2 linked regions of the Macaca fascicularis genome follow. The protein of the gene in region 2 interacts with the protein of the main gene of each other region in a biochemical or structural test. Links are inferred from orthologs where the notes say so. Each region holds a gene or a part of one and is shown on either strand. Other genes may lie near its edges.

The links.
Region 1: the proteins of GRB2 (region 2) and MET form a complex in vitro, tested with the Homo sapiens proteins (3 studies listed by BioGRID and IntAct, with this or other methods). The link is inferred for Macaca fascicularis from reciprocal best matches to the Homo sapiens genes GRB2 and MET.

Annotation. Positions count from the first base shown.
Region 1 is NC_088377.1:158,137,127-158,142,095, reverse strand, and holds the start of MET (hepatocyte growth factor receptor), read right to left. Parts: upstream 3,402-4,969; 5' UTR 2,983-3,401; intron 1-2,982. UniProt on the Homo sapiens protein: Receptor tyrosine kinase that transduces signals from the extracellular matrix into the cytoplasm by binding to hepatocyte growth factor/HGF ligand. Regulates many physiological processes including proliferation, scattering, morphogenesis and survival.
Region 2 is NC_088390.1:81,722,301-81,726,533, reverse strand, and holds part of GRB2 (growth factor receptor-bound protein 2), read left to right. Parts: intron 1-1,069; coding exon 1,070-1,238; intron 1,239-2,341; coding exon 2,342-2,527; 3' UTR 2,528-4,233. UniProt on the Homo sapiens protein: Non-enzymatic adapter protein that plays a pivotal role in precisely regulated signaling cascades from cell surface receptors to cellular responses, including signaling transduction and gene expression.

The DNA.
Region 1 (4,969 bases), on a different chromosome or scaffold from region 2:
TCTATAACCTGAGAATGTTAAGATATTATCAGACTTGCCTATCTTGTAAGGTTGTTTTGGTATCAGAAAGATGATGTATGCAGAAGCAGCCTGAAAATCTTAAGGTTTTCAAGTTCCAATCTTTGATTTTTTAAAAAAAATTCTATTATTTCATAGCAAATAGGATGATTTCAAAAGTGTTTCTCGTGTGATGTCCTCTTAATAATTATGAATTTGGGTTCATTTTATATGTGATGTTTGTCTGTATATCTAGATTGTAAACTTCTCAAGGGCAGATTCCATTTTTTTCTTTTAAAGAAAATGCTGTAGTACCTAGCACATATGATACTCAACCTATAGGTCCTAGCTATTTTTGTTTGGGCAAATGTGGATCTGGCAGCAGCTCAGTGTCAGTTGAGAACACATCATCAGAGTGATTCTGAACTAACATTAGTCAGTGTATCTATCATCTATTACTGAGAAGTGACTATTTATTTTGCACTGAGCAAAACCCATGAAGAAACTCTGCCCTGAGGGCTTGGTGTCAAAAATACTAGTTTCAGCATATACCAGCCAGGAAAAGAAGGCTCACTTCCTGACACTTGAGTTTCTATATACATTTTCTCCCCTTAAGAGGGCACAATGAGGAAATTGAGTATCCCATGAATAAACACAGCAGAACAAGGAAATCTTAGGGATTTAGACCATGGAAAAGAAAGCGTAGATGGCTCTGGTGAGAATCACTAAGCCTAATGCCTAAAGAAGAAACCAGCAAACTGGGCTGGAGAAATGGGGGCACAGAAGGCCTTGAAAGCAGCTCTGACCAAACCAAAGGAAAAGGTTGAGTAGGAAGAGGACAGAGAAATGGGAGGTAATCCGAATGTGTGAGGAACTGTGCTCACCATGGGGGTGTCATCACGTCCTTGGTGCAGCCACTTGGAGAAAATGAGCCAGTTAGAGGATATTAGCCCCTCTGAGTTATTCACCTTGTTTTGAGATGACCACATTTGAGAAAAAGTGTATTTGAGACTATTATGTAGTTCTGCAGAAGGATAATTAGACTAATGCTATTTCAAACGCTATTTTCACAACAGCTAAGGAAATTGAGTTTTGAAATGTATTTCTTAGTTTAGCCTTCATTCAGACAAAATTTTTTTAAAGACTTCAAGATTAATGCAAGGCATATACTTACATAGTCTTAAAAGGAATTTATAAAATATGGGTATTTCTCCTGCTTAGCAAAGGGTCATTTTTCTCTATTATAGGTTTAAAAGTAGTGAAAATATTAGTTATGAGCTTTCATATTGACTGGCTGTGATTAATCTGCTACATTTTTATCATGAAGATAAACTCCATCCACTAATTTTGAAAGCATGTAGTATACATCTGATGTAAACCCCTATTGCCATGTATCAAGAACAAAGCAATTTTGAAAAAGCAGTAGTCGGTAGACCATCTTCTATATGCCACAAATTCCATCATGTTAAAAGCAAAACATATTTAAGTTAATAACTATAGCTTATGCACCATTAAGTTTGAAAACTGAATAGAATTTTTAAAACACCAGCACATTTTATAGGCTATCAGACACATTTTTCGTACTACAAAAATTTCTTATGAATGATGTAAATTTTCCCTCTGTTATTCAGCAGTTTAAAAAGAATGAACATTGAATACACCACAGACTTGCAAATGATAGGAACCAAAGTACCTCACTTATGTTCCATTATGGAAGTTTACATGTTCAAAACAAAGCTCAATTAGCTTAAAACAAGCAAGGAAAGCTATGTACCTGTAAATAATCCAAGCACCACTTACACTATTTACATAAAAATGCAATTTATGTCCTTGTAGCACATAGAAACACGATGTACATCATTTTCAGATCATCTTCATGCAGAAAAAATTCATTAGTCAGCTATAATAGTTTAGCTGTAAGGGGATATAATGTTTTTCTGAATCTATTTGCATGGCAATGTGCATGTGTCTGGCTGATGGAAGCGACAGAATAAACCTCCACCCAAAGCTACAGAATGTGAACAGTCTTCTTAAAATTCAAGAGAGGGTCCAGATAGTCTATATTGCCTCCAACGTCAGTTTTTACAATCCTCTCACATCCATGGACCATCTTAACATAGCAATTAAAGTATCTTGATTATTTTGCCTAAGAGAGTTGACAATATTTCATTCTGCCCGAGGGCTCCTTTGAACATAAAACTGTGATAAGGTAAAATACACTGGGCAACTATTCATGCGTGAGCCACTGGAGCCCTCTCCAACTGCCAAATTAGCAAATGGCTCTTTTAAAACATGAAAGATATGAATGGGAAACCGTACTTGGGAGTAAATTCTGCATTGACAATAGTCAGGGAAAGTACTTTCACTGGTGCTTTAATTATCGGGTCAGCACTACGACTGGCCACATTGCCCAGCCTCTGGTTATAATCTATTTCACCTAATAAGATAGATGTCCTCCACAAGCCCCAGAAAGAGATAAGGTACGATGGAAAATTGATGGATCACAAGCCCCGCGTGATTGCCAGAAATGAATTCAGACTTTCACAGAAACACCTACCCCTTGGAAGGACCCCAGCATAACACAGATAAAGCAAGGCTGGGAACAAGGAAACAGCTAGGCTCAAACCTTGCGGGCTGCATCACGGTGGGACGAGGATGACCGGATCCTTTTTGTAAGGGCTGAGTCAGATCCCAGCTTTAAAACTTGCTGGGCCATAACAGTCATACATTACCCACTGTCCCAGTGCCCCTCTCCCTCCTAAGTCATACAGGTGGCCATCAGAGGCAACACCCTAAAACGACAAGCCCCATTCTAGTTTCGTCCTCCCCTGGCCACGTCTCTTCAGTTTCCGAAGCCCGTAAACTCTAGCCCACCTCCGTGGTTTTCCCCCTGGAACAGCAGTCAGGTCTCTTAGGGGAACAAAGAAAGCAGAACCGCTGGGGCGAGGGCTGGGGTGCGGGATTTGAAAGGGGCTGCAGTTTTACCTTGCGGTGCCCAGGAACCAGTGGAGAAGTCAGCGGCGCAAGGACCACCCGCGCGCTCCGCGCCTCCCCGCCTCCTCGAAGCAAGTCAGCTGTCGCCCCGCATCTGGCTCGCGCCCTCCACTCGGCTCTGCATCTGCTCACAAAGCGCTCCGGGCGCCGCGGGCGGCGAGGGCCTCCGGGTCACCTGCGGCCGGGCCGAGCCCAGCGCCCCGCCCGCCCGCTCGCCGGCCGCGCTCCCTCCGCCCCTTCCCACACGCGCGCTGCCCTGCCAGTGACTCAGCCGGGCATCGGCGCGCGCGGCCCGTGGCGGCCCGGGCGCGTTGGGGCCGGAGGCACCGCCAGGCGACCAGACCGAGGCGCTCGCCTGCCCGCCCCAGCACGTGTACGTCTGCCTCGCGCGCTGTCCGTCCGCCTAGTCCGCGGGTTCCGAGGACCGCTGAGGTGGGGATTGGCACCACCCAGAGGGAAATCGGCCCCCGCCCTTCCTGCCGTCCGCGCCGCGCCTGGCCCCGCGGGGGTCGCGTTTCCTGCCGCCTCTGCCCCGCCCACGACAAGGTGAAACTTTCTAGGTGGAGAAGTTTTCTCGCCCTGGCTGCGCGCTCTCCTCCCCCAGCTCAGGCAGACTGAAGTTAGCACAGCCGGAGATAAGCGGGACCGAGACTCCCCCTCCTGGCGCTTGGGAGGCGAGTGTCACCCCGGGCGCAGAGGCAGGGCGCGCACCCTCCTGGCACTCCGCTCGCTGACCCCGGGAAGGGCGCGAGCTCTGCTCTCCGCTTCTCCCACGTCTCCGCTAACCGCCCCGCGCCCACCCGAGTATAGAGAGATTTGGGCACCGCAGACACACTGTTAGAGGCGGCGGTAGAAGTGGATGGATGAATTGTCCCAATGATTTCATTATGCAACGATTATCCTCTACTGTAATAACTCAGATTTCTGCAAGGAAGAACAACAGAGGAGTTTAACCACGAGGAGACTTCCATTTCTTTTTCTTTTTCTTTTTTTCATAGCCAGAAGCAGACTGATTAAATAACTGGGCAAATAGCGATGAACAAGCAAAATAGAACAAAAGTTTAATTCTTGAATGTTGAAGTCTTACGATGATTTTTAAAACAGAGCTTTTGGGGCCTTGGTGTACTCTATTAGGTGTAATTGTGTTGGGATAACTTTATATTTCGCTATAAAAATTGACACCTACAATAGTAAATGAACACTCAAAGGTAGTAGGATCTAAGGAACGGGCATTGCTGGTTAGGACTTGAATTCGTTCCGGCTCTTATATGGGCCTGTTCAAGCATCTCACACGGGCTTGTTCAATCATGGTAATAGATAATGAGACATAGATCTCTTCGTTATTGAAAGTCATGGGTTAAAATAACAGTTACTATGCAGGTTCAGGTCTTATTTACTACAGAATGGAAGATAGAAAAATACAGTGAGAATAGTTATCATTTCCCAAGTGCCAGGCATTACCAGAAGTTACATAAGAGTGATTTCAATCTTCAAAAGAGATTATCTCGTGATTCCCCAGTTTTATGGAAAAGGAAAGTTCCCGTTACGTTACTATTGAATTGAACCATTTGCAGGTAAAGAAACTGAGTCCCTAAGAGTTCCCGGAAGAGTCACACATCTGGTTAGTAAGAGGGGCAAGGTTAGAACTTAGCTCTCAGCCCAGTCAGGTGTCCTTCACACCATACCAAGAGGCCTCCGCTGGCTAAATAAACAATGCGACCTGACTGGAGATTTCCTGATACTGCATGGCATAATTTATCAATGACTACAGCTCATTTAAAACAAAAACAAAAACAAAAACAAAAAAACAAATTTACTGGTTATAAGGCACTTGGCCTATTTATGGACAGATCAATTACAGATTTTGGGTTCAGTAACAGCTTTCAATAAAAGGTGAATAAATTAATGAATTTAAAAAGTTTTACACACACACACACTCACACACACAGCCATGGTTGTCTAAAGGAATGATTAGAGT
Region 2 (4,233 bases):
CCATCTCGGCCTCCCAAAGTGCTGGGATTACAGGCGTGAGCCACCGCGCCTGGCCGAGAATGCCTTTTTGAGCGCCTGGCCAGGTGAACAGGACAGGCAGAAGCGCCCTCGCTGGGCTGGTGTTCTAGCCAAATATCCTGTGACAGACCCTGTGAGCTAGTACCAGCCAGCCACACTGTTGCTGGTTTTGCTAGCCAGTGTAAAAGGGTGTGATCTGGTGATGGAGAAGCTTTTGGGTTTCGAAGCCTGGGCCTCTTTTATTGTGCCAGTGTGTCCTTTCATTCAGAGACCTTTTCCCCGTGAGTGGATCTAAAATTCCTGAATGGAAAACATGACTTGGAACTATTCGCAGTTACGAGAGAATTGTTGAAAGTATTTCCAGCCCTCCTCACCTTCTTCCTGCATATAACATTTTAATTATTTTTTTATTCAAAGGAAGTTAAGTCACACTTCTTTGTCTTAAGTAAGGCTGTTTTATTTGTTAGGGTTCAGGGCACATGGACTGTTTTTTTCTTTTTTTTTGAGACAGAGTTTCACTCTTGTTACCCAGGCTGGAGTGCAGTGGCGCAATCTCAGCTCACTGCAACCTCCGCCTCCTGGGTTCAAGTGATTCTCCTGCCTTGGTGTCCCGAGTAGCCGGGATTACAGGCATGCACCACCACGCCCAGCTACTTTTGTATTTTTAGTAGAGATGGGGTTTCTCCATGTTGATCAGGCTGGTCTCGAAATCCCAACCTCAAGTGATCTGCCCGCCTTGGCCTCCAAAGTGTTGGGATTACAGGTGTGAGCCACCGTGCCCAGCCTGGACTCTTTATCTTACAAACATCTTCAGAATGAGAGTGACTGATGGCCTGTCCCTGTTTGGTTTCTTCATGTTGTCCTGGTGCCCATCAGTCATAGGGAGGGGTCTGTTCCAGGGACACGCAGTGAGGAAGCTTGTTACTCTGCAGTCCCTGAGGAGTGCTGCCGGGACAGTGGTTCTCTCAGGATATCGCTTATATGGGCAGATAGCCTTCGATTTGCCAGGTTAGAGCCTTTAGCCGGTCCATGTGCTCTCTGTCCCTCCCAGGTTTGGAAACGATGTGCAGCACTTCAAGGTGCTCCGAGACGGAGCCGGCAAGTACTTCCTCTGGGTGGTGAAGTTCAATTCTTTGAATGAGCTGGTGGATTATCACAGATCTACATCTGTCTCCAGAAACCAGCAGATATTCCTGCGGGACATAGAACAGGTGCCACAGGTAAGCCTCATCAGGGTGAGATGGGATCATTTTAGAAATTAAGAATAGCTCCTCAGTGTGCATTCCTGTGGGAAGGGGGAGGTGACCCTCAATCAACATGCAGGCGCCCTTCAGGGATTGCCACTGGGGCTTCTGTGCTCGTTACTGAACACGTTACCTTCCATTCACACTAAAAATTTCTTGTTTCTGGCCCAGCGTAGTAGCTCATGCCAGTAATCCCAGCACTTTGGGAGGCTGAGGCAGGCAGATCACTTGAGGTCAGGAGCTTGAGACCAGCCTGGCCAACATGGTGAAACCCTGTCTCTACTAAAAATACAGAAATTAGCCAGATGTGGTGGCGCCCACCTGCGCTTGGGAAGCTGAGATGGAAAAATCGCTTGAACCCAGGAGGTGGAGGTCACAGTGAGCTGAGATTGTACCACCGCACTCCAACCTGGGTGACAGAGGGAGACTCCATCTCAAAAAAAAAAAGAAAAAGAAAAAGAAAGATTTGTTGTTTTAAATATAGGATTTTTGCTTTTCCAGAGGCAGTGTGTAGCCAGCTTGCCAGTCTCTCTAGGGAGATGGTCTTTAACACACCCACCCAAAGATCCTGTCCCTGGAGGCAAATTATGAGGAAAACTATGCTTGTGAGGGAGTGAGGTCGGCACCGTTCCTGTCCCTCGAGCCCTGGTCATAAGTTACAGTTAGAGTCCCTTATGTTATGCGAGCTCCAGAATTTTAGGCTCTAATATCTTAAGGGTGTGGTAGAAGGGATTTGCAGATTCTGGGCCCACAGCCTAAACACAGACGGCTGTTTCTGAAGAACTTTCCCCTCCAAGCACTGCCTGCCCTCTACTTGATAATATGGCACAGTTGGCCACCCTCCTCTGGGAGACATACTCTAGCATTTTCTGAGCACTGGGAAAGATCACACTAAACCCGCTTGGCCTGTAAACTTAGAAGAGGTAAGAATAAATGGGGGGTTGGGAGATGGGAGGTGAGTTTAGAAAACATGGAGAATTTGGCACGCATTCGTTTCCCCCTGGAACCCGTCTGGCCTCGGAGGTGGCCGGCCACAGACCAGGAATGCAATATGGGTTTTTCCTGCTCCTGTTTTGCAGCAGCCGACATACGTCCAGGCCCTCTTTGACTTTGATCCTCAGGAGGATGGAGAGCTGGGCTTCCGCCGGGGAGATTTTATCCATGTCATGGATAACTCAGACCCCAACTGGTGGAAAGGAGCTTGCCACGGGCAGACCGGCATGTTTCCCCGCAATTACGTCACCCCCGTGAACCGGAACGTCTAAGAATCAAGAAGCAATTATTTAAAGAAAGTGAAAAATGTAAAACACATACAAAAGAATTAAACCCACAAGCTGCCACTAACAGCAGCCTGTGAGGGAGTGCAGAACACCTGGCCGGGTCACCCTGTGACCCTCTCACTTTGGTTGGAACTTTAGGGGGTGGGAGGGGGTGTTGGATTTAAAAATGCCAAAACTTACCTATAAATTAAGAAGAGTTTTTATTACAAATTTTCACTGCTGCTCCTCTTTCCCCTCCTTTGCCCTTTTTTTCATCCTTTTTTCTCTTCTGTCCATCAGTGCATGACGTTTAAGGCCACGTATAGTCCTAGCTGACGCCAATAATAAAAGACAAGAAACCAAGTGGGCTGGTATTCTCTCTATGCAAAATGTCTGTTTTAGTTGGAATGACTGAAAGAAGAACCACTCTTTCTGTGTTCTTCGTATATACACACAAAAAGGAGCGGGCAGGGCAGCTCGACACCTTTGCTGTTTAACTTCCTCCAGAGGAGGGGGCTTGTAGGAATCTGCCTTCCAGCCCAGACCCCCAGTGTATTTTGTCCAAGTTGGCAGTAGAGTGGGGTAGAAGGAAAGCATGTCGCTGCCTCCATGGCTTCCCTAGAAAGCCTGCCTGGGCCGGGCAGCGTGGTGGCTCACGCCTGTAATCCCAGCACTTTGGGAGGCCAAGGTGGGTGGATCACAAAGTCAGGAGTTCGAGACCAACCTAGCCAACATGGCAAAACCCTGTCTGTACTAAAAATACAAAAATTAGCTGGGTGTGGTGGCATGCGCCTGTAATCCCAGCTACTCGGGAGCCTGAGGCAGGAGAATCACTTGAACCTGGGAGGTGGAGGTTGCAGTGAGCCGAGACCATGCCATTGTACTCCAGCCTGGGTGACAGAGCGAGGCTCCATCTCAAAAAAAAAAAAAAAAAGCCCTCCCAACAGCCTGTCTCTTTCCACTTTGTTGGCCCTTCCAGTGGGATTATCGAGCATGTTGTTTTTTCATAGTGCCTTTTTCCTTATTTCGAGGGTTGCTTCTGAGTGGTGGTGTTTTTTGTTTTTGTTTTTGTTTTTAATTTGTTTTGTTTTAAAATAAGTTAAAGACAGTCCAGAGCTTTTCAGCCAATTTGTCTCCTACTCTGTGTAAATATTTTTCCCTTGGGGCAGGGTAGAGCAAGGGAGACAAGCAGGAGTACAAGGTGAAGCATTCTCCTGCTTGTACTAAGCCAGGAGGCTTTAAGCTCCAGCTTTAAGGTGTGTGAGCCCCTTGGGGGTTCAGGGAACTGCTTGTCCAGGTTGCAGTGTGAGTGTGACGGGCCACCGGGGCAAGAGGGAAGGTGACCACCCAGCTCTCCCACATCCCACTGGATCTGGCTTACAGGGGGTTGGAAGCCTGTCCTCACTGTCTCAGGGGTTGTGGCCCCCACCCCATCACTATATGCACCCCTGGAACCAGCAAGCCCCAGACAAGGAGAGCGAAGGAGGAAGTCATGGGAACGCAGCCTCCAGTTGTAGCAGGTTTCACCTTATTCCTATGCTGGAGTGCACAATGAGAGTACTCACTTCTCACCTGTCTTGCTCTTAGATTGGGCTGTGGCTTTCATCCTGTGTCCTCTGACCTGTCCAGATGAGCGTGAGGGCAGCATTGGGAAGCCAGAGTGCTGCTTGTGCCTCCCTTGCCAGTGGGCTGTGTTGACTGCTGCTCCCCAC